4 linked regions of the Caenorhabditis elegans genome follow. The protein of the gene in region 3 interacts with the protein of the main gene of each other region in a pairwise test. Each region holds a gene or a part of one and is shown on either strand. Other genes may lie near its edges. The genes, in order: vig-1, pros-1, hus-1 and hda-3.

Region 1 (4,447 bases), on a different chromosome or scaffold from region 3:
GGACACACTGGTTCGTCGAGAAATCTTCTGTGTTTTTGAGAAAATTTGAATTTTTAATATTAATTGCGAAAAATTGATGGGTCTGCTAATTAAGAGTTTGTAGTTTGTAGTCTAGCAGACCAAAATTTCCTAAAAAGCGCAGTAATTGATTGGTCTGCTAAATAAGACTTTGTAGTTTGTAGTCTAGCAGACCAAAATTTATTAAAAACTGCAGAAAATTGATGGGTCTGCTAATTAAGAGTTTGTAGTTTGTAGTCTAGCAGACCAAAATTTATTAAAAACTGCAGAAAATTGATAGGTCTGCTAAATTTGATTTTGTAGTTTGTAGTGTAGCAGACCAAAATTTATTAAAAACTGCAGAAAATTGATGGGTCTGCTAATTAAGAGTTTGTAGTTTGTAGTCTAGCAGACCAAAATTTATTAAAAACTGCAGAAAATTGATAGGTCTGCTAAATTTGATTTTGTAGTTTGTAGTGTAGCAGACCCAAATTTTTTATTGAAATTGGCAAAATTGCTGAGTCTGCTAAATAAAATTGAGTTTTTTGTAGTACTTTTTAAATGCAAACGCCAAAAATAAAGCCTAATAATAAAAATCCGCATTTCTTTTCAGATCTCCGTGTCGACTATCGCCTCAACTCAGAATCTTCCATCTCGGCGCCACTTCTCAACGTGAATTTCAGCACAAATTTGACGGGAAGCGTGGATTCTGTGATGTGTGAGCCAGAAGCCAAATGGGTGGCTGGAAATCCGTCACTCGGCTGGAATTTGCTGGAAATTTCAAGAAATGGAGATGTGCACGGATCGCTGAAAGCAAGGATATTTATGAAGAATTCTGGGGTCGGGCTTTTTAATTGCTTTAAAATAAAAAATATATAATTTTCCAGGACGAAGTAAGCTTGGAAATGCTCGATCGGAAGCCGGCGCAGGTCTTCGTGCAATTTCAGGTACTAAAAACTGAAATTTAAGCTCTTAATTTATCTTTTTCAGTGCCTGGAAGCCAATCTATCTGGAGTGGACATTTCCCTAGTGCAATCGGATATTTATCACCTGTCTATGATTCGTAAAAAGGTGCTCGCTGGTAAATATTTTTGTGATCCCGAGCTGCGGAAATAGAGAAGATGAAGAGCTTTTTAATTTGATTTTTGTTTTAATTTTTCTGTGTAAATATAGCATAATTCTCGCGAAATCTGTGATTTTAACAAACTTTCAACTTCTAGTTTTCCAATTTTTCACCACCAAACGAGTTTTTCCACTATTATTCGTTATCCCCCGCTGTAATAAATACTTTTTCCCGGCATTTTTACTTTTTTTACACACATTTTGGGCTGGAAATGTCATAAATTTCTTTTCAAATACTTTAAGACAACAAAAACAATTGGAAAACAAGTTTTCCCCCAACCAAAAATTGATTGAAAATGGCCGAGGACTAGTTTTCGATTTCAAACTGCCGCCCATTTCGGCGGTCGCATTTGGCTGCGTAGCGGCTCGCAAACGCCAGTTTACACTATTGTGATACGCAGCCAAACCTTCACCTGTCCGATTTGAACAGTTTTTCCGATTTTTTTTGACCGTTTTCGCCGGTTTTTTGTAATTTTTTGGGTTGCTAGCAGTAAATCACCGATTTTTGATCAAAATTGCACTGAAAAATGTTTATTTTATTCCGAAATAGTGGATTTTGAGCAATTGTTGATTTTCTGACTTTTGATTCGATTTCTTTCTGGAACATTCAAAAATTCCCTTAAGAAAATGCAATTTGCTTTTTTTATTTTTTGATTTTAGTTGTGAAAAGTGCTTAACTGATTTAAAATATCGCAACGGTGTCTGGCTAATTATACTCTTTTCTTAAATATCGATTTTTGTTTGAAAATTTGAAATCTAAACTAACGTTCTTGCAGGTATCCCCATATTATGGGTTATTGATTAACTTGGCATTGAAATTATTGAATTGAACAGAAGCTTCCTGCACTTGGAATCTTATCTTCATCGAATCAACACAAACAGCAAAAATGAGCACTGAATACGGTTGCCAGGTCACCAACAAGTTCGGTCTTCCATCCGACGACGACGATGGTGAGTGGTTGATGATGATGATCGCCGGATGATTATCTTATCTTCCCGATGGGATATTGCGCAATATTCATATGCGATATACTCCGCCCAGAAGACATTATAAAAAATCGATAATTTGCAGAGTATGACGACCCAAGAGAGCTCATCCAAAAGGTGTCTCAAATCGCCGCCAAGAAGAAGGAGGAAAAGTCTGTGAAGCCCGCCCAGCCGGTCAAGCCAGCCGCTGCTCCAGTTGGTAAGAATTGGCATTCCTATTCTTAAATTAATTAAACATTATTTCAGCCGCCACCAAAACCGACGGTGCTGCTGGACGTGGACGCGGAGGACGTGGTCGCGGACGCGGGGGAGCCGGCCGTCCACGTGACGGAGAACGTGTCTCCAACGAGAACGGTGATCGTCCACAAGGCGAGAACCGTCGTGGAGGACCCCGCAGAGGCGGTGAGCGCGGTGCTGCTCGTCCAGCTGGGTAAGAAACGCTTAAATTTTTAATTTTTTTTTTCATTTTACTGAACTTTGTATTTTAGACGTGGAGGCCGCGGAGGATTCACTCGCGAGAACAGAGAAGGAGAGGAGCCAAAGCAAGAGGTCTCTTTCGAAGACGGACAAGATACCCGTGCCCCAAGACGTCGTGGAGGATTCACCCTTGGAGGTGGACCATCTGGCGGACGTGGAGGAGGCCGTGGTGGACGTGGGCGTCAATTCGATCGTCAATCCGGATCCGACCGTACCGGAGTTCGCTCATTCGACAAGAAGGACGGACACGGAAAGGGCAACTGGGGAGACCAGAAGGACGAGTTGGCTGGAGAAACCGAGAACATTGCTCCAGAGGGCGCTGAGAGCACCGAGCCAGAGGTTCCACGTGAGAAGACCGCTGAGGAGCTCGCCTACGAGGCTGAGTTGGCTGTTCTTGCCAAGCAAAAGACTCTTAAGGAGTTCAAGGCTGCGGCTAAGGTGAGTCGTATAAAATATTAGTTTTGGAATTTATTTTTTTTTTTGTTTCAGGCTGACGCTCCAAAGTTCAACACCAGAAAGGCCGGAGAGGGAGCCGCCGATACTTTTGGCAAGCTCGTTCCAATCAAGAAGGAGGTCATCCCAGATCGTGAGGAAGACGAGGTCGTCGTAATCCACAAGGCTCCAAGAAAGCAAGTGCTCGACATTTCGATCACTTTCCGCAACGATCGTCCAGAACGCGAGCGCAACGACCGTTCTGAGAGGCCGCAACGTGGAGGACCAAGAGGAGGTGGACGCGGTGGAGGCCGTGGAGGACAACGTCAAGGAGGTCATGGAGGACGCAACAACACTCCATTCAACGCTTCTGACGATGCTTTCCCAGCTCTCGGTGCCAAGTAATTCCCCCCCCCCCACTCAACGACCTTCAGCCAACCAACCAATTCGCCCGCCCTCATTCAAATGCTCTGTTCTTCTCTCCATCTTGTTTTCTTCAAAATTCTCCTCTTTTCAATATCTTTGCCTGTGCCCATCTACCCCACAAATTGTTCGTTTCCAAAATGCCTGTTTCTTATTTTTCTTTTTTTTCTAGTTCCCCCATTTAGCTTGTTGTTGTTATCACCTGCCTTATCGATCTCTCTTCTGATGAGTTGCCCTCGATTTGGTTTGCTTGTTATCTCCCGTTTTTTCTTTAATTTTTAAGCCCTTTGAATCCCTTGATCTTCCACATACACCCACCAAGACGACCTCTTCTTTACCAAATATTTGACACAACAAAAGGTCTCAATTGTGTCAAGGATCAACGAACTAGTACTAGGAAACTCAATTTGTGCCCCTTCCAACCACCACCCCATTGCGCCCAGGTTTCGTTTTAATTGGAGTTTGTTGTTAACAAGATTTGATAAAGCATCATTTTTGTGTTAAACACCCCAATCATTCTATATCACACACACACACAAACACCCATTTTTCTTCTTTTTGCCTCCACACACCCCCCCCCCCCCCCCCCACCCAACTGTATCCGTATTTTGTAATAAAACGGTCTAAACCAACCACAGGGGCGTGGCCTGACACATGCCATTTCTAGGCCGCGAGCCGAGTGCTCTGATTCTCTGCCGCCTCTTTTAGAGAGCCGCGACGTCTTCTTCAGCGGGAGAGAGGGAGCACCCCCCCCCCTCCCCATTGCTCGGCAAAAACTTTTGCTCTCCTTTCACTTCTTATTGATTTCCCTTCTGTTAGCCGCCTAAATTAGAATTTTTAATTCTTCAGATTCTCAATAGAGCGAGCTTGCGTTCGAAATAATTTAATTTTTAATTAAATCTTCCTGCGACTCTTCTCTCTTTGGAAATTGCTATTTCGCAAGTTTAGTAACGATTTTATGACAGCAGCGGCGTCCGAATTTGAAATTGAATTAGGTCCCCTGAGAAGC
Region 2 (6,487 bases), on a different chromosome or scaffold from region 3:
ATGTATTCTGAAAATATACAGTTTTACTTGTTATCTTTTTTGTTTTTATTTTCGAACCAAAATTGGAACATCTTACTAAAAAATGGAAACTTTTCCTTTTTTTATCACTCGGCCGCCATTTATGAATTGCACACAAGAGGGGGTATACCTTAACATTATTTAAAGATTATTATTACACGGGCGAGAAATTTTGCGATGTTGTACCAAAAGTACGGTATCCGGTCTCGATACGACAAATGTTTATCAAATGCGAGAAGGTGTGTGGCTTTAAAGAGTACTGTAATTTCAAACATTCATTTCTGCAGAATTTTCTTTCACTTTTATCCTGTTTCTTTCATTTCGCAGCAACGAGATTTTGAAGTTACAGTACTCTTTAAAGGTGCACACCTTTTGGAACTTAATAAAAATATCGTGAGACCGTGTGCCGTGTTATAGGAGCAAAAATAGCAAAACTGACTATTAGCCACACCGATAAGAAGTCTGCATACTGTTTTTTTCCGGGCCAGATGCATGTAGGTTTCTGGTTTTAATTATAGGACCGCAAGTGATATTGAATGTTCCATATTTTCCATACCAATATTACAATAAGAAACATCGAATGAAAATATAGAAATCGGAGGCACAGAAAGTTTTGGGGAAAATGGAAACCATAATAGAATTGGAGGATTATGCCATGTGGCAAAATTGGGAATTTTTGAATGTTCAATTGAAACCAATAACACAAAAAGCGTTTGACAAAGAAAATGAGGAAGACGAGCTCCAGAGAGCTCAAATAAATATTAAATTGCACATTTTGAAATGGGGACTTAGAATGAAAGTTGTCAAGGAATGAGAGTTAAATTGGATGGGGTAATTGATATTCGAATGGGATGAGGGAAAACATGGGCAATAAAGTTTTAAAATCACAATGGAACACATAAACAAGGAAAACTGAAATATTGAGAAACTGATAATGAGAGGGAATATATGGTGATTATGTTTCAAGACGCTCGAGGAAGTTTGGCTCCTTGAAGAAGTCGGGAATCTGATCTTCCAATCGATTGATAACCTGCAAAAAGGGTAAGTTTGATTTTCTATTGGAATATGGCAAAACACAAAAGTTTAGAGCTTTCAAAATATTTGAGCACCAATTGAGAAACTCAAAAATTGCCACTCCTGCCTTGTGCACCTGTTTCATGCCTACATGTGCGCCTACCATTTCATGCAGACCTGCTCGTAGGCAACGCCCATCACATACCTACACGCGTGCCTACTGTCTTATTGTTAGAACTCTGTTATGAAGGCACTCCTACCTACCTTATAGATTGTTTTCTTCCATGATGGTTCAATATCTTTTCCCTGTTTGATTGCATCATGAAACTCACGAAGAGTCTCTTGAACCACAAATACAAGACGATCTGGTGCCTGCAAATTATATAAATTTAGTGTTGCTTACGAAAAGAAACCGTACCTTAATATGATTATTTCTGTTATAATGTGTATTCAAAACTTTGAAAAGTTCACTGTCTTTTGACACAAAAATATCATTTCTATCAGTAATTCCCTCAGCGAGAGCTTGTCTCGCGAACTTCTCCATCTGATTGTAGTAGAACTCTCTGAAAATATTTGAGTTGGTACAGTATAAGAAGAACCTATTTGATTTCGTCTCCCCATTGCCTAACTTCATCTCCTGAATCCAATTCAAATATAAATAATCTTCTCCTTCTTCATTTTCTTTTTTTGCCCACATTTTTATGATGAAGACGTCGACATGATGATGTCTTTTCTTCGCCAACGACGCGTATCACACCTTAAGACCCTTTTCTCATTGTTTGAAACGAAACGAGTTGGACTGAGAGAGACGAGGATTTGTTTGTTTTCTTTTTCACCTCATCACTTTTTCGAATTATGAAGCAGTATTTGTAATGGGAAAGGTCATTATGACTCCAAACAACAAAACAACAGGAGATAACCATGAAGTTAAGAAATCAATGGCGAGTACCAGAGAAGAATTTTCATTATTAAAACCAACCTGAAGTTACTGAACCATTTCACCAATTGTGCAGTGTTATTCTTATTGAATCGGATATCAGGGAAATACGATTTCAGCAGATTTGAATTTGGATATCGTGTGTAGAAAAACATCAGCTTTGCCTTTCTCAAGTGCATTGGTGTTAACATTGAACTTGAGCCACCACCTTCATATCCACATTCACTGAGCTCATCGGAATTTGTTGGTGAGTCCTCTCGATCTCCAAAGTTCATTCCACCGTAGTGTCCAACCATAGTTGGTGCTGGAAAGAATCTGGAGAGTGGTGGGCTGGCAGATGCACTCAATGGTGATGCACGGCTACTCATTGCGTCTTCTTTCTTGATTTCCACCTTTGTTCGCTTCTTTTTCATTTCCGACGAGGTATCTACGTCTTGAAGATTTCTTCGGAGAGCGTTGAATGCGTTAAATGCATTGAAGTTTGGAGGAAAAATTCCACCTCCAGCAACTGGATCTACAAGAGCAAAAAGCAAATATTTTTTCAAAAAATGTTGGGCCGAACCGGGGATTCAACCCGGGACCTCTCGCACCCAAAGCGAGAATCATACCACTAGACCATTCGGCCGACATTTTTCTGGTCAAAGGGCAAATAGAAAAGCTGTGTAAATAACTTACGATGTGGAGGCGCCATGTGGAACAATGGGTTTGCAGGGAAAATTGGATGGAATTGAGGTGGAGGTTGTGGAATCTGAGGAGGAGCAGCAGCTTCTTGCTTTAATACTTCATCGGCAGCCCAATCACGGATCACCTTTTCCAAATCTTTCATGAAATTGGTAACTAAATCTCCTTTAACCGAGGAGACAAGACGTTCGATGTTGATCTTTCCATTGTGCAAAATCTAAACATTTTCAGTTTAGAAAGTTAATGAACATTTTAATTGTATACCTGTGCCGCTGCAACCTGTTTCCGTTGCTGATCTAAAAATGCAGCATAAAATCGTCTCTGCTGCTCAGCGATATGTCCATTTTGAAGCTGAGCTTGAAGAGCCGAGAGTTCTCTACCTTCAGCTTCATCTGTAGTCTCTTCGGCTTCTTCTGTACCTCCAACAGTAACATTAATTTGCTCCGTTTCTGCAAAATTGAATTTATTAAATTTTCTTTTAAGTTAAGACAGTCAAGTTTATGAGTCAAGTTTATGATCAAGTTAATGTTTTCTATTATTTTTGTACTACAAATTTGACAGCTTATATGTATTTCAAAGGTCGTTGATTCTATTCAAAAGTTGTCAACTGACAAAATATTTGTTATGACTATCGTTTTGTAGTGTAATATTTATTGATTTGCTTAAAAGGAAGTGAGAATTTTTTTTTCAAAGTGAAGTAGTAGTTAACTAGCTAACAAACTTACTGACTTACTGAATACCTAACAAGTAAGTAAGTATGCAAGAACAACGGTAATATGATACATCAATTAATAAAACTAACCATCTCCAAATTCAATTCCTAACTCCTCTCCAATTTTCTGTGGTTGAAAGCTTTTCCTTTTTGAAGCAGAGCTACTGTTACTTTCAGGGCTCTCCCGTTCTTCTGATTCTTCAACTTCATCATTTGTATCATCAATAATTTCGAAATCATTCATTCCATCATCATGCTCTTCCATTCCATCTTTACCAGCTTCCGATTCTTCATTTTGAATCACTTTTTCCTATAAGAAAGTATCATAAATAACTAGGCTAATCTTATTATCCCCTCTTCCTCTCTCTTCTCGTACCTGTTCAATTGAAGCTGTCATCGTTTCCGTCTCAGTCATCCCTTCCGTTGACTTCTTTGAAGATGTTGAAGATGAAGAAGGTGTTGAATTTGTATTTGATGTAGACGATGATGAAGAACTATTTGAAGAGACTGATGTAGAGGCTCCCTGGAATAAAATGAAGGAGTAAAAGAGAGAATGAGATGAGCTGATTAGCAACCGCCACGAAATGAATATATTAGTTGATGGGAAAGTAAAGGAACAATGTATATGTCGCCGCCGAAATACAGGAAGACACTTATCTTATGATTATGACACGTAGATTTGCATATTTATTTTTTCGATTTTGTCGGGATTATCAAACGTTTCAGTTAGAAAACTGTGTTTTCCTTGAACTACTTTGCCAAGAAAAACATACCAACTTACAGTACAGTTAAATTTAGTTTTGACCATTTTTGTCAACTTTAAAGTTTCCAACATTTACGTTGCAGTTAACTAAAGCTACTACTAATTAACTGAGTTAACTGAAATCTACTTTGAAAACTTATATGCGTTTGGTTTTGCGTTTGGCATTTTGATTTCGTCAAAAATTCAGAGAGAGATAAGCTTTGAAAGGTGAGAAATGGAGATGCAAGACAAAAGTCCGGAGTATTGTATTGCCGGTTTAAAAATGTTTCTTGCCTACCTGATATGTGTTTCTTGGTTCACCGGCGTCAACTCTCTGTCGATGGCGTTTCACTTTGAATCGGTTACTTGAATTCGGGGTGGATCCGTTAGAGTTAACAGGGGGAAGTTGAGAGTAGTAAATACCGAATGGTGGGAATCCGTTGTTAAAGCTAAAACTTTGTTAGTTTTTTAAAGAGTTCCAGGGTAAAAGTCTGTTACCTGAATCCGTTGGCACTCGGTTGTGCGGTAGCAGCAATCGAAGGCAATCCAGATGACATTGATGACGTCACTAGCTATCTGAATTCTTGACAATTGGAATTGGAATACCTGAAAGAAAATAAAGAATTGAAATTGAATACGAATAAAGAGAAGGCAAGAAAAGCACAGTGGGGAGTCGAAATGTTATTAAATCAGAATATACATACACATATACAAGAGCCAAGGATATACATATTGAAATTGAAGGGGGTGGATTACGGTAACAACTTGAAAGTTTTTGTTATGTCATACTCAAAAATACATCTAATCTTTTCGATCATCATCAACATCATAACGGTCGTAAGTAGGATTATGCAAAAAAGGAAACGGGCGAAGACAAGTGACTTGCCACTTTCTGCCGAATTATTTTATTAGCATAATCTCTGTTTCCATACCGAAACAACTTTCAGATGTTTTACTGGAAGACGTCTACAGTATCTATAGGGTACTTAGGCGTCATGTCGTGTATGAATTCTCTAAATCTTACGGGATCAGAAAAAACTTCAATCAAGATCGCTAAAAGTTATAGAGAGTCTAAGATTTCTCTTAGCACCATTTTTTACAAAAACTCTTCGCTCAAGACCAATGGAGCTTCGGAAAATTTCCAATAAAATTTGAAAATGCTGAGAACCTAAGTGGAAAACTAATTTCCTTTTGCGAAAAGCAAAAAGGAAGAGATTTGTCTGAGTGACTAAAAGGAGCCAAAAGGAGGCACATATGTGTAGCTCACAAGAAACAATTTAGGTAATGGGTCTCTGGAGAAGGTTGAAGAAGATGAAAATGGAGACGATTGGGGACGACTACGGTAGTTTTTGAGAGAAACAGAAAGAAATTTGAGAGGAGCATTCTTTAATTCTCCCATAAATTTCACGTCATTCTTAAGAAGACTAAAGTTTTTGGGAAAGAAAATGTGTGAAGTTTTAATGGGACAAGAGGAGACCTAGGACAGGAGGACATATAGAAGTATACTTCAAAGTTTTCAAATCACCATGACTCCTAAACATTTCTCCTTTTTTAGTTTCTTCTCCCTTGACACTTTCGTTTTAGAATATAAATAAGAAAAAGAAATTGTGTGAAAAGAAGAATATCGGAAGAAACATTAATTTTTCATCGTATAAATTTGAGAGAAGAGAAGAATCTTATGCACTTGGCAGAACAATGGACGAAGATTGAATTCTTAATTTCGTCAACGTCTTCTTTTTTCGAAGAACATTCTAGAAAGATTTTGAGATTTGTACTTATTTTTTTTCTGATTTTTAAAATTTTATATTAAATTCTCGAAAAAATGGCTGAGCTTTTATTTTCCAGTTAAGTTTTTCTAAATTCTTATCTTTGTGTATACTTAGGATCATTGAAGCAATAACGCCTGTACGTACGCAACCTGGTGGGCCGCGTCAGCATAAACTCTAACATTTTCAGTCATTTTTGTACCTACCTACCTGTGCTTTGAAGAGTTTTTGCTAAAAGTCATAACTCGTAGGAAACTAGGTGGTAAACTAGGCGTAGGTCGCATTGAAAGCGAATCTTTTTGGTTTTTTGTAAATATTGATTTTGATCCCTAATTGTGGTTTTTTCCAAACTGTGAAAGCTTTTTCAAACACTAGGGTTCATGAAGTTTTGAGCATCGCAGGCATAGAGGCATTTTCGCAGTCTGCACTGTCAAAAGAATTCCAGATGCACATTGAATTTTCAGAAGAATATATTCAAGTAGTTTTCTTAGAAAATACAGAAATCAAAAGCATATCCTATAAGTTTCTGTAGTGCTGTTAAAGTACTTAAGATCTATGCTATAGAATCTCAGAGCTTCTTAGATGATCTAAGAAGTTATCCCCTTACCATCTAAGAC
Region 3 (3,502 bases):
GATGTTTTGTAATCTTTATGGACTGCAAAAAGATTGCAAATTAATCTTAGAATATTACACATTTTTTTGTAATATTTTTAGATTTCAGAAAGATTGCGAACCAATCTCAAAAGATTGCTATGTCATCTCAAAATATTACGAATTTTTCGTAATATTTTCAGATTCAGAAATATTGCGAATCAACCTCAAAATATTGCTCAATCTAAAAAGATTTCGAATAAGTCTCGGAATATTGCGATTTTATCTTGAAATATCACCCAACTACAAAAATATTGCTATTTAATATTTTCATATTAGATTTGAGTTGCCTGAGTTCCAGCAATTTTAGAAAAAAAATTTATTTTTCAACTTCCTCTTGAACTTCGGCTATCAAAATAAAAGTTTTTTCAAGCTTATCTTTTTTTTGGAATTTTATACAGTTTATCAAAAAATAAATGTTTAAAAATTCGCTTGAAAAACTTGATATTCTGATTTTAAACTTAATTTAAATTAAGATGCTTTGAAAATCAAAGCCAATAAGCCAGTTGATAAATGGATATATATTTTAAGAAATAAAAAATTTATTTGCAGAATTTATGAGATCTAGAAAATTAGGCATTCAAACAACGACAAAAAACATTATTTCTAATCCGAAACATTTCCAACAATATACGAAAGAACGCAATCCTCATTGTGAAAATTGAATTCTGCCATTCGATTTGAGATGATATCTGGAAAATTTTTTTTTTGTTAAAAATTATCAAAATATTTCCGATCCTACTCATTTTGGCACGTGTCCGAGTGTTGGCGAAACTTTGAAACAATGGAGAAATATTTCGAATCATTAATTGAACTTTTGCAGTATCCTCTTGACTATCGGTTTCCGATGGATTAGTTTGAAGATCCGAGAAGCTTACATCAATCTCGCCAGTTTCAATTTTCGTAGAAATCCTCAAATCTCCTGATGTACTGGCTGTGAGCTTCTGGATGAAATTAACTTATATTTCAGGACTTTATTTGTGTATATATTATTACCACAACTCGAGTGTTCATATTTTTGAAGACGTGTAAGAAACGGGACATCATTTTAGGAGGTGGCATGCTGATTGACATCTGTAAATATATTTTTTCAATAGAGATTAAAAAAATTAATGTAAAGTTATAATTATCATCATAAAATCGTTTACTTTTCTGTGTCCAATTGACGGCCTGGAGTACGAATTCCAATATTTTGATAGAATAATTGTGATTGGAATTTGATGAGAAACAATATCGGCTTCTGGATTTCTAACTTCGACAGACAACATTGGCTCATCTTTTTGACTTTTCGATAGTTTCAGTTTCAGATAACAGTGTCCGCCGGGCAGAACACGTACTAAACTATCGATTTCCAATTCAAAATAAATCAAATTTTGCTCTTCGTTTCGTGGATTCATGCCAACCATATCGAATTTTCGGAAAATTTGACTGCTATAGGGAATTGATAAACTGAACCAACTTCCACCATCATGGAGTCCTGAACAGCAAATAAAGTTGAGAGCTGAAAGTTCATAGAATTTTATTAATAAAACAGGATTTTTAAAACCATTCTTTTCTATTTTGACGCAGCATCTTTTCTTACTCAATTTGCTCACTGATGTCAAAATTTCTGAAAGACAATTTTTTCAGATATTTCATAGATTTTTTAATAATCAGTCTGCTCACTGATAAACACGTCGATTGCCGCAGTATCTTGGAGAAGAGAACTGAACTTCATTGTTTGAAACCTAGAAAATAGTGAAAATTAGTTAGAAAGAGAAGGAGACGGAGAATGAAAAAGGGAAAATCGCGCGCGATGGAAGAAATTTGAAAAAAGACTTTACTTTTGATATTTTTCGAAATTTTTTAAAATAATTATGTTTAGAGTTAAAATTGCAAGGAAAAATGAAACAAAAATTAGTTTAAAAATAAAAACCACCGTATCTCTTTCCCTGCGAAACCAATTCACCGTATTATTGTATGTGCCTTTAATCTTTAACAGTAAGCATAACATGTGATTTTCGCCTTCTTTTTATTAAAATCTAAATTATTACAGAACTTTTAAATAATTTGATTATATTCTTTGTTTAATTTTTAATCATTTAAATTCAATTTAGAAATGCTAAAAATCCCAAAACAATGAGACACTATTTCCCTGCAGGACCATTTTACAGAAATACTGTATGCACCTTTAATTTCTTTTCAAAAGTAAGCGGCCTTTCTGTCGAATCATTTTTCGTTGATGAACTCTTTTTTCTTCACTTTTACTCTATATTATCACAAAAATTCGAATTTTTCAGCGAAAAAATCGAAAATGAGTGGAGGAAAAGACGAAGCCAGCGACAAAGCGCTCCTAAAAATCCTAAAATCTAAATCACCGAACACAATTGCCATTTTCTCACGAGGCGAATACTTTTCTGTGTATGGCGATGACGCCACCTTTGTCGCTACTAACATTTTCAAGAGTGATGTTTGCGTCAAAACGTTCACTTTATCAAGTAAGACTCGAAAAATCAAAATAAAATCTGTAAATGTGAAATTTCAGCCGACAATTCTCAACAAATGAAGTACATTTCCGTAAATCGTGGACAATACGAGAAGGTCGTTCGTGAAACCATCGTACTGCTCAGATGCTCCGTTGAGCTATACTCGAGTGAACAGGGAGAGTGGAAAATGACGAAGCGTGGATCTCCAGGAAATACTGTGGATTTTGAGCAAGAAATTGGAGTGTCAGATCAGGCTCCGATTCTTGCAATCTATATTCATCCAGGAGATGATGATGTATGACGATTTTTATAGATTTTTAGATTTAGAGATTTATAGATTTTTAGATTTTTAAATTAATTCCCAATTTCAGAATCGAGTAACATTGTGCGCTTGGGATGCTGGAAATGTTCGCATTGTGATCAGTGAATACATCGATACTCCTTCTTTTTCTCAAACGGAACAATGCATTTTTGGACTATGCCCCACAGAATATATTCTAGTGAATGAAGGATCAGTTGCACCGAAGGCTAAGAAAATAGCAAGCATGTTCACGAGAATGGAGGTTCACAACAAGCAACAGCTGAAGCCAAAGTCACAATGGAGCGATGTAATCGAGTCGGTTCATCTGGATTATAAAGATGAAGCCGAAAAACAAAACGAAAACATCAAGGAATGCCTTCAAATTCTACACTCGAACGCAGCCGATGAATACAGTATTTCTGAGAAGTATAGTATTTTCAATTACGGAACTCATGGAAATATGCTGATTGATTCATGTGCTGTGGAGGCTCTGGAGCTTTTCCAATTGAATTATAATTATTTGGGTAGAGTTATAATGTTACATTTTCCTTGAAAATAATTTAATTTCAGAGAAATCGAATAATTTGACGCTCTACAATGTTTTAAACAAATGCAAGACTCTTCCTGGAGAGAAGTTGCTCCGTGATTGGCTTTCTCGTCCACTTTGCCAGATCGATCACATCAACGAGCGACTGGATATTGTTGAAGCTTTGTTCGA
Region 4 (7,468 bases), 8.2 Mb from region 3:
ATTTTTTAGCCCATAAGTATCAAAAACCGGCCAAACAAAATTTCTGTAAAATTAAAATTCGTTTAAAAAAAATCGATTTTTCACTGAAAATAACGCAAAAACACATTTTTTCGCGAAAGAAAATCACAAATAGCTACAAAAAGCTAGCTCAGTGAATTTTTTAGAAAAAATCAACAATTTTCGTTTATTTTTCAGATTTTTGCAGTTTTTTTAGAAGGAAAGAAAAATGAGATTTTTTGTCGAATTTTCTAGGGAAAAATCACTGAAAATCGAGGAAAATTGTACAATTTTTCAATAATTTTTTAGAAAAATCGGTTAATTTAATTTTTCGAAGCTTAAAAAAATAGAAGTTATCTTAAAAAACCGCCTAAATTTAAAAAAAAATTAAGAAAAAAGGAAAAACCAGATAATTCACAAAAAAAAAACCACCTAAAGTTGTGATTTTTGCCGAATTTTCCAGAGAAAAATCATGGGAAATCGAAGAAAATTGCACTATTTTTCAGAATTTTTGCAGAAAAAAAATTTTGTCAATGAAAAATCTGATTTTCTTCGAAAAAACTACAAAAAAACATGATTTTTCGGTGTAGATATTAGGGAAAAAAATTTTTAACCAGAAATTATCAAAACCTCGCCAAAAAAAATTTCAAAAAAAGAAAAAACCAGAAGATTCACAAAAACTACGAAAGAAGCCGAAAATTTGAAAAAAAAATCGAGAATTTTTGTTTATTTTCTCTAGATTTTTGTGAATTTTTAGAAGAAAAAAAAAGTGGATTTTGCCGATTTTTCCAGAGAAAAATCGCTGAAAATCGAAGAAAATTGTTTTTTTTTCCAAAAATTCACAACAAAAAAATTAAAAAAAAAATCACCAGAAGCCGAAAATTTGACAAAAAACAGCTCTGTGAGTTTTTAGAAGAAAAAATCTAGAATTTTTGTTTATTTTTCAGCTCTTTCAGGTTTTTCAAGTGAAAAAATGCAGATTTTTGCCGATTTTTCCAGTGAAAAATTGCTGAAAATCGGCTTTTTCCAAGGCTTTTGCAGAAAAAAATTATTAAATGAATGAATTTACTTTTAAAAAATTGAAAAATCTGATTTTCTTTGAAAAAACTACAAACAAAAATCGTATTAAAAATCGATTTTCTCTGAAAAAAAAACGCAAAAAACATTTTTTTTTCGCGAAATTAAATCACAAAACCGAAAAATTCAATTTTTTAATTTTTAAAAATCGTACAAAAAATTTACGGAAAAAATCCGGAAAACTGTATATATTCACCAAATATATAGTGATTAAAATTTTTTTTTAAGTTAAAAAAAATTTTATTCAAAAAATAAAGAAAAAACCAAGAAAATTCACAAAAAAAACATAAAGAAGCATGTTTTTTGAAGAAAAAACTAACAGATTTTTCCGTTAAAAATAAACGAAAAAAACATATTTTCATAGAAAAAATCACTAGAAGCCGAAAATTTGTAAAAATGTTTTTTAAAAATAAAATTTATTCAATAAATAGAAGGAAATGACCAGAAACTCAGAAAAAATTGAAAAAATTTTTTTTCAATTTTTAATATTTCTTTTAAAAAAGGTAGTTTCCGGTGAAAAAAAAACCCCAAAAATCCAAAAAAGCTCCAAATTTTCAGATAAAAAAGAGCATATCCGAGATTCCTGACGTCATCAACCCACTGCGACCGGTTCTAGATGGATTTGTGACGAAGCTGGTGAACAGAAATGCATAGGAAATTCTTCAAAATTTTTCCGAATTTATTTTCAATTTAAATGTATATTTTTCGATGATTCTCTCTATTTCAGACCACCACCCCGTTTTATTGATTTTTTGAGCTTTCACCCACAGAAACCCTTTGCAAAAATTAATTTATTTTTTGACTCTAATTTAAATTTCTAAATTATATATTTATATATGAATGCTTGTTGTCCTTAAATATTTCCCCATTCCATTTTCCCCGAAAAAATCCGTTAAAAATCGGTTTTTATATACTTTTAAAATATATATTTTCCAGGCTTTTTTTTTCCAATTTTTTAAGCTTCCAGATGAGCCTCCAACACTCGAAATCTCGAGTTTCCTACTATTATGATGGAGATTTTGGAAATTTCTACTATGGACAAGGACATCCAATGAAACCGCATCGTGTTCGAATGACACATAGCCTTATTGTTAATTATGGATTATATCGGAAGCTTAATGTCATGGTATGGACCTCGAAATTTGGTGGATAGCTGGAAAAACTGCAGAAAAAATTGAAAAATTTAGATGAAAATTTCAGAAAAATTTCGAAATTTCAAAAAAAAATATTTTTTTCTTAATTTGCTGTTTTCGGGTCTCGACACGACAATTTTTTGAAGCAGCACAAACGGGTATGCGGCTTTAACGATTACCGTAATTTTGGAATTTTTATCGATTTTTCAAAAGTAAATGTGCCTTTAAAATTAGATTTACTAAACTCTGAAAAATCGATGAAAATTCCGAAATTACAGTAATCCTTAAAGGCGCAGCACCCGTTTGTGCCGCTTCACAAAAATTGTCGTGTCGAGACCCGTTGTTTGACGAAAATCGCAAGGGAGGAAAAAAATGAATTTAATTTTAAAAATCCGCAGTAAAATACACTTTTTTTTCCAGGAAACTTGTAGAAAATTTGAAAAAAGTGCTAAAATTTCGATTTTCGCAATATTTTTTGAGAAACTATCTAATTTTGTTGAATTTTTTAAAAATTCTTCTGAAAATCAGTTGCTTTGTGTGGCGGAATTCGAGATTTCAGGTAAATTTTGCAATTTTTCAGAAATTTTGCTTTTTTTTTTTTTTGAAAATTTGCACCTTTTCTGAAATTTTGCATTTTCAGAATTTTTGCTTTTTTTTGAAAATTTGCATTTTTTCTGAAATTTTGCAATTTTTCTTGAAAATTTCGTTAAAATTTTGCATTTTTTCTGAAATTTTCGGTAAAATTTTACAATTTTTCTAAAATTTTGCATTTTTCAGAATTTTTGCTTTTTTTTTTGAAAATTTGCATTTTTTCTGAAATTTTGCAATTTTTCTTGAAATTTTCGGTAAAATTTTACAATTTTTCTAAAATTTTGCATTTTTTCTGAATTTTTGCATTTTTTCTGAAATTTTGCATTTTTCTAAAATTTTTGGCTAAATTTTAAAATTTTGCATTTTTTCTGAAATTTAGCAATTTTTCTTGAAAATTTCGTTAAAATTTTACAATTTTTCTAAAATTTTGCATTTTTTTTTTGAAAATTTCGTTTAAATTTTGCATTTTTTCTGAAATTTTAAGTAAAATTTTACAAATTTTTTGAAATTTTCAGCTAAATTTTGCAATTTTTTCTGAAATTTTGCATTTTTTTTTGAAATTTTCATCTAAATTTCGTAAATTTTTGTCCATTTTAAATCCAAAAAACCTCCTCAAAATTTCCCATATTTTTTTTGCAGCGTCCCGCCCGTGCTTCATTCTCCGAAATCACACGTTATCACTCTGACGACTATATCAATTTCCTTCGTAACGTTAAATCCGATAATATGTCCACATTCACAGATCAAATGGCCCGATTCTCAGTTGGAGAGGATTGTCCTGTCTTTGATGGAATGTATGAGTTCTGCCAGCTATCATGTGGTGGATCACTGGCTGCTGCCGCCCGGCTTAATCGTCAAGAATCAGAAATTGCAATTAACTGGATGGGTGGTCTACATCATGCGAAGAAATCGGAAGCTTCTGGATTCTGTTACTCGAATGATATTGTTCTGGCGATTTTGGAGCTTTTGAAGCATCATAAAAGAGTTCTTTATATTGATATTGATGTTCATCATGGTGATGGAGTTGAGGAAGCATTTTATACGACAGATAGAGTTATGACTGTTTCATTTCATAAACATGGAGAATATTTCCCTGGAACTGGAGATTTAAAGGGTACGGGAAGAGAGATCTCTTCGATTTTTTAAATTTAAATTTTAAATTTCCGACAAATCTGCAAATTGCCTGAAAAAAATTTGCCGGAAATCGGCAAATTAATATTAGCTGAAAATTCGATTTTTTTTTTGGAAAAAATGTCGTTTTTTCGATGCTTTTGAGGGAAAATCGAAAAATAAATTTTTCAAAAATTTTTAAAATTAAAAAAAAATTCAGAAAATTAACTATAAAATAAGATTTTTTGGCGAATTTAATTTCAGCTAATTTTAATTTTCCGGCAAATTGGCAAACTGGCAAATTTTTGCCGGAAATCGGCAAATTGTCTGAATAGAAAATTTCCGGCGAGTTGCCGGAATTTAAGTTTTTGGCAAATTGCAGGAATTGAAATTTTCCGGGAAATTGCCGATTTGCCAAATTTGCCGGAAAATCGACAATTTTCCGGCAAACTGCCGGAATTTAAATTTTTGGCAATTTGCCGGAAATTAAATTTTCTGGAAAAACGGCAAATTGCCGGAATTTAGCATTTCCGGCAAATCGGCATATTGCCGGAGTTTTTAATTTCCGGCAAATCGTCAAGTTGCCGGAATTGACAATTTCTGGCAAATTGTCGGAATTGAAATTTGCTGGAAAATCGACCATTTGTCGGTAATGAAAATTTCCGACAAATTTGGAAAATTGCCGGAATTGAAATTATCCGGCAAAATGTCGATTAGCCGAGTTTCCCGGAAAAACGGCAAATTGCCGGAATTTGAAATTTCCGGCAAATGTGCGAATGGCAGGAATTGGAATTTGCCGGAAACACGGCAAATTTTCGGAATTTAAATTTCCGGCAAATCGTCAAATTGCCGATAATGAAAATTTCCGGCAGATCGGCAAATTGCCGGAATTTACCATTTCCGGCATATCTGCAAATCGGCAAACCGGCAAATTGCCGAAAATAGCTACATTTATTTCAAAAAATTTATGAAAAAGTTTTTTTCAGACGTTGGCGCTGGAAGTGGCAAGTACTATGCTCTGAATGTTCCACTTCGTGATGGAGTCGATGACGTCACTTATGAACGGATTTTCAGAACAATTATGGGAGAAGTTATGGCAAGATTTCAACCAGAAGCAGTTGTGCTCCAATGTGGTGCCGATTCACTGGCAGGAGATCGGCTAGGAGTATTCAATTTGACTACTTATGGTTTGTGTGTGTCGATTTACGAAGAAGCTCTCGTGTACTCCTCGTGGAGAAGATTTTCTCAGTTTTCGGCAAAAATTCTCGATTTTGGATCATTTTCGCTAGTTTAAACTAAAATTTTCACAAAAAATCAAGAAAATTCGTTAAAATGGTGATTTTCGCGGCGAGACCCATCCGAACTCGTCTGTGCGCCTTTAAGTAGGAATTGTGGAGAAATTCGGAATAATAATAGCAAAATCACGAATTTTAAGTAAAAATTGAGAGGAAACCTACCTAAAAATGGGATTTTTATCGGAAAAAGTGCTAAAAAATGCTTTTCTCACTGAATATATCGGAATTTCTTAGTTTTTGGCGAAATTTTGTGATTTTGGGCCATTTTCACTAGATTTAACACTCAAAAAATCAAGAAAAGTCGTTAAAATAATGCTTTTCGCGGCGAGACCCATCCGAACCCGGCTGTGCGCCTTTAAATAGGAATGGTGAAGTAATTCGGAATAACAATAGCAAAATCACGAATTTTAAATAAAAATTGAGAGGAAACCTACCGAAAAATGGGATTTTTTCGATGAAAATTACTGAAAAATCGGATTTTTTCACGAAAAACATCAGAAAAAACGGAAAAAATTCAGTTTTTCTCGGAAAATATGCTAAAAATTGCCTTTTTCACAAAAAAAAAAACAGATAATGAGTTTTCTATGACAAAAACAATTTTTTAAAACGTATTTTTAACGAAAAACATCTGAAAAATCACGGAAAAAAACTCCAATTTTTCCCGGAAAATGACCAAAAATTAGATTTTTTCATAGAAAATAACCAAAAAATTGGCCTTTTTCTCAGAAATAAGCAAAAATTTTTTTTTTCAGGACACGGAAAATGCGTGGAATACATGAAAAGCTTCAACGTGCCGCTTCTGTTAGTTGGCGGTGGTGGATATACGATTCGAAATGTCTCCAGATGTTGGCTGTACGAGACGGCGATCGCTTTGAATCAAGAAGTTTCAGATGGTATGGAAATTTCGATTTTTCCCCCGGAAATTTGCGAAAAAACGGCTTATTTTCGGCAAAAAATCTTGAAAATTCGAATTTCCCGCTAAAAAATGCCAATTTTTCTTCCAGATCTGCCCCTCCACGACTACTTTGACTACTTCATCCCGGACTACAAACTACACATAAAGCCGCTCGCCGCTCTTTCGAACTTCAACACTCCTGAATTCATTGATCAAACGATTGTCGCGCTTTTGGAGAATTTAAAGCAACTTCCACACGTTCCATCGGTCCAAATGCAATCGATTTCGACGAGTTGTGACTCAATTGTGAAGACTTTTGACGAGAAACTGATCCGAGATCATCAGAATGATGACGTCAGAGTTACTCAGTTCGAGGAAGACGTTCAGGTGGAAGATTCGGCGGAATTCTACGATGGTCAAGAGCCGGAGACGAAGAATATTCAATCGATGAAACGGCACGCGAGTCCGATTTGTGCGGCGCAAGAGGAGATGAAGAAAAATCGGATTGATGGCGGCGAAAATGTGGCATAATTTGGTTTTAACTTGATTTTCTGTATGCACTAACTTTGTATTTATATCGTCTCTTCAAACTATTTCTTTAATTTATACGAATCTCAACTTCTCTAAACCTCTATTGATCCTCAAATCTATTTAAATCTTTCGTTAAATCGACAATTAAAAAATTTCCGTCGTCAAGTGTGGTGCCGGTGGTGCATACACCGCCGCGCACAAATGCACAGATTTCGGCGTTTTCGAATTTTTATCGGATTTCTTTTCTCTATATTTTAAAGGATATTTTCTATCGTTTCTTGTCTAAAAACACAGTTTTTATCGAATTTATCACAATATAAACCTATTTATCATCTTTCTTTTGTGAATTTTCACTGAAAAATCAGGTTTTTTTACCTTGAAATTCTAATTTTCACCCGGTTTTATTTAATGGATGTTTGGATTTTCTCAATTCCTATTTATTTTCAGAATGAGCGGCGAAGAAGAGAAGGCAGCGGACTTTTACGTTCGTTACTACGTTGGACACAAGGTAGGTCTTGGAAAATCTTGGAAAAATGACAATTTTCGCCAATTTAAATTAGTTTACGAAACAATTTTCAGGGAAAATTCGGTCACGAATTTCTCGAATTCGAATTCCGTCCAAACGGATCGCTTCGCTACGCGAACAACTCCAACTACAAGAATGACACGATGATCCGCAAAGAGGCGACAGTGTCGGAATCGGTGCTCAGCGAGCTCAAGCGTATCATCGAAGACTCGGAAATCATGCAGGAGGACGATGACAATTGGCCAGAACCAGACAAGATTGGACGCCAGGAGCTGGAAATTCTGTACAAAAACGAGCACATCTCGTTTACGAC

The links.
Region 1: the proteins of hus-1 (region 3) and vig-1 interact in a two-hybrid assay, tested with the Caenorhabditis elegans proteins (3 studies listed by BioGRID).
Region 2: the proteins of hus-1 (region 3) and pros-1 interact in a two-hybrid assay, tested with the Caenorhabditis elegans proteins (3 studies listed by BioGRID).
Region 4: the proteins of hus-1 (region 3) and hda-3 interact in a two-hybrid assay, tested with the Caenorhabditis elegans proteins (2 studies listed by BioGRID).

Annotation. Positions count from the first base shown.
Region 1 is NC_003280.10:1,319,142-1,323,588, forward strand, and holds vig-1 (Hyaluronan/mRNA-binding protein domain-containing protein), read left to right. Parts: upstream 1-1,895; 5' UTR 1,896-2,006; coding exon 2,007-2,070; intron 2,071-2,191; coding exon 2,192-2,305; intron 2,306-2,352; coding exon 2,353-2,536; intron 2,537-2,594; coding exon 2,595-3,021; intron 3,022-3,072; coding exon 3,073-3,420; 3' UTR 3,421-3,932; downstream 3,933-4,447. Other genes in the region: fcho-1 (FCH domain only protein 2), read left to right, coding at 1-10, 611-837, 885-944, 988-1,113.
Region 2 is NC_003281.10:8,065,512-8,071,998, reverse strand, and holds pros-1 (Homeobox protein prospero homolog 1), read right to left. Parts: upstream 4,711-6,487; 5' UTR 4,662-4,710; coding exon 4,603-4,661; intron 4,554-4,602; coding exon 4,403-4,553; intron 3,886-4,402; coding exon 3,739-3,885; intron 3,673-3,738; coding exon 3,453-3,672; intron 3,100-3,452; coding exon 2,915-3,099; intron 2,868-2,914; coding exon 2,645-2,867; exon of another isoform or gene 2,514-2,644; intron 2,484-2,513; coding exon 2,012-2,483; intron 1,596-2,011; coding exon 1,451-1,595; intron 1,405-1,450; coding exon 1,297-1,404; intron 1,049-1,296; coding exon 974-1,048; 3' UTR 536-973; downstream 1-535. UniProt on the Caenorhabditis elegans protein: Transcription factor involved in developmental processes. Controls the transcription of genes required for excretory canal formation.
Region 3 is NC_003279.8:3,696,345-3,699,846, reverse strand, and holds hus-1 (Checkpoint protein), read right to left. Parts: upstream 1,746-3,502; 5' UTR 1,736-1,745; coding exon 1,684-1,735; intron 1,628-1,683; coding exon 1,565-1,627; intron 1,520-1,564; coding exon 1,167-1,519; intron 1,093-1,166; coding exon 1,015-1,092; intron 963-1,014; coding exon 761-962; intron 711-760; coding exon 625-710; 3' UTR 547-624; downstream 1-546. Other genes in the region: msh-2 (DNA mismatch repair proteins mutS family domain-containing protein), read left to right, coding at 2,312-2,495, 2,543-2,778, 2,855-3,308, 3,355-3,502.
Region 4 is NC_003279.8:11,912,286-11,919,753, reverse strand, and holds hda-3 (Histone deacetylase), read left to right. Parts: upstream 1-2,034; 5' UTR 2,035-2,041; coding exon 2,042-2,200; intron 2,201-3,437; coding exon 3,438-3,912; intron 3,913-4,894; coding exon 4,895-5,095; intron 5,096-5,955; coding exon 5,956-6,096; intron 6,097-6,207; coding exon 6,208-6,629; 3' UTR 6,630-6,963; downstream 6,964-7,468. Other genes in the region: fdps-1 (Farnesyl pyrophosphate synthase), read left to right, coding at 1,633-1,728; mag-1 (Protein mago nashi homolog), read left to right, coding at 7,078-7,137, 7,209-7,468.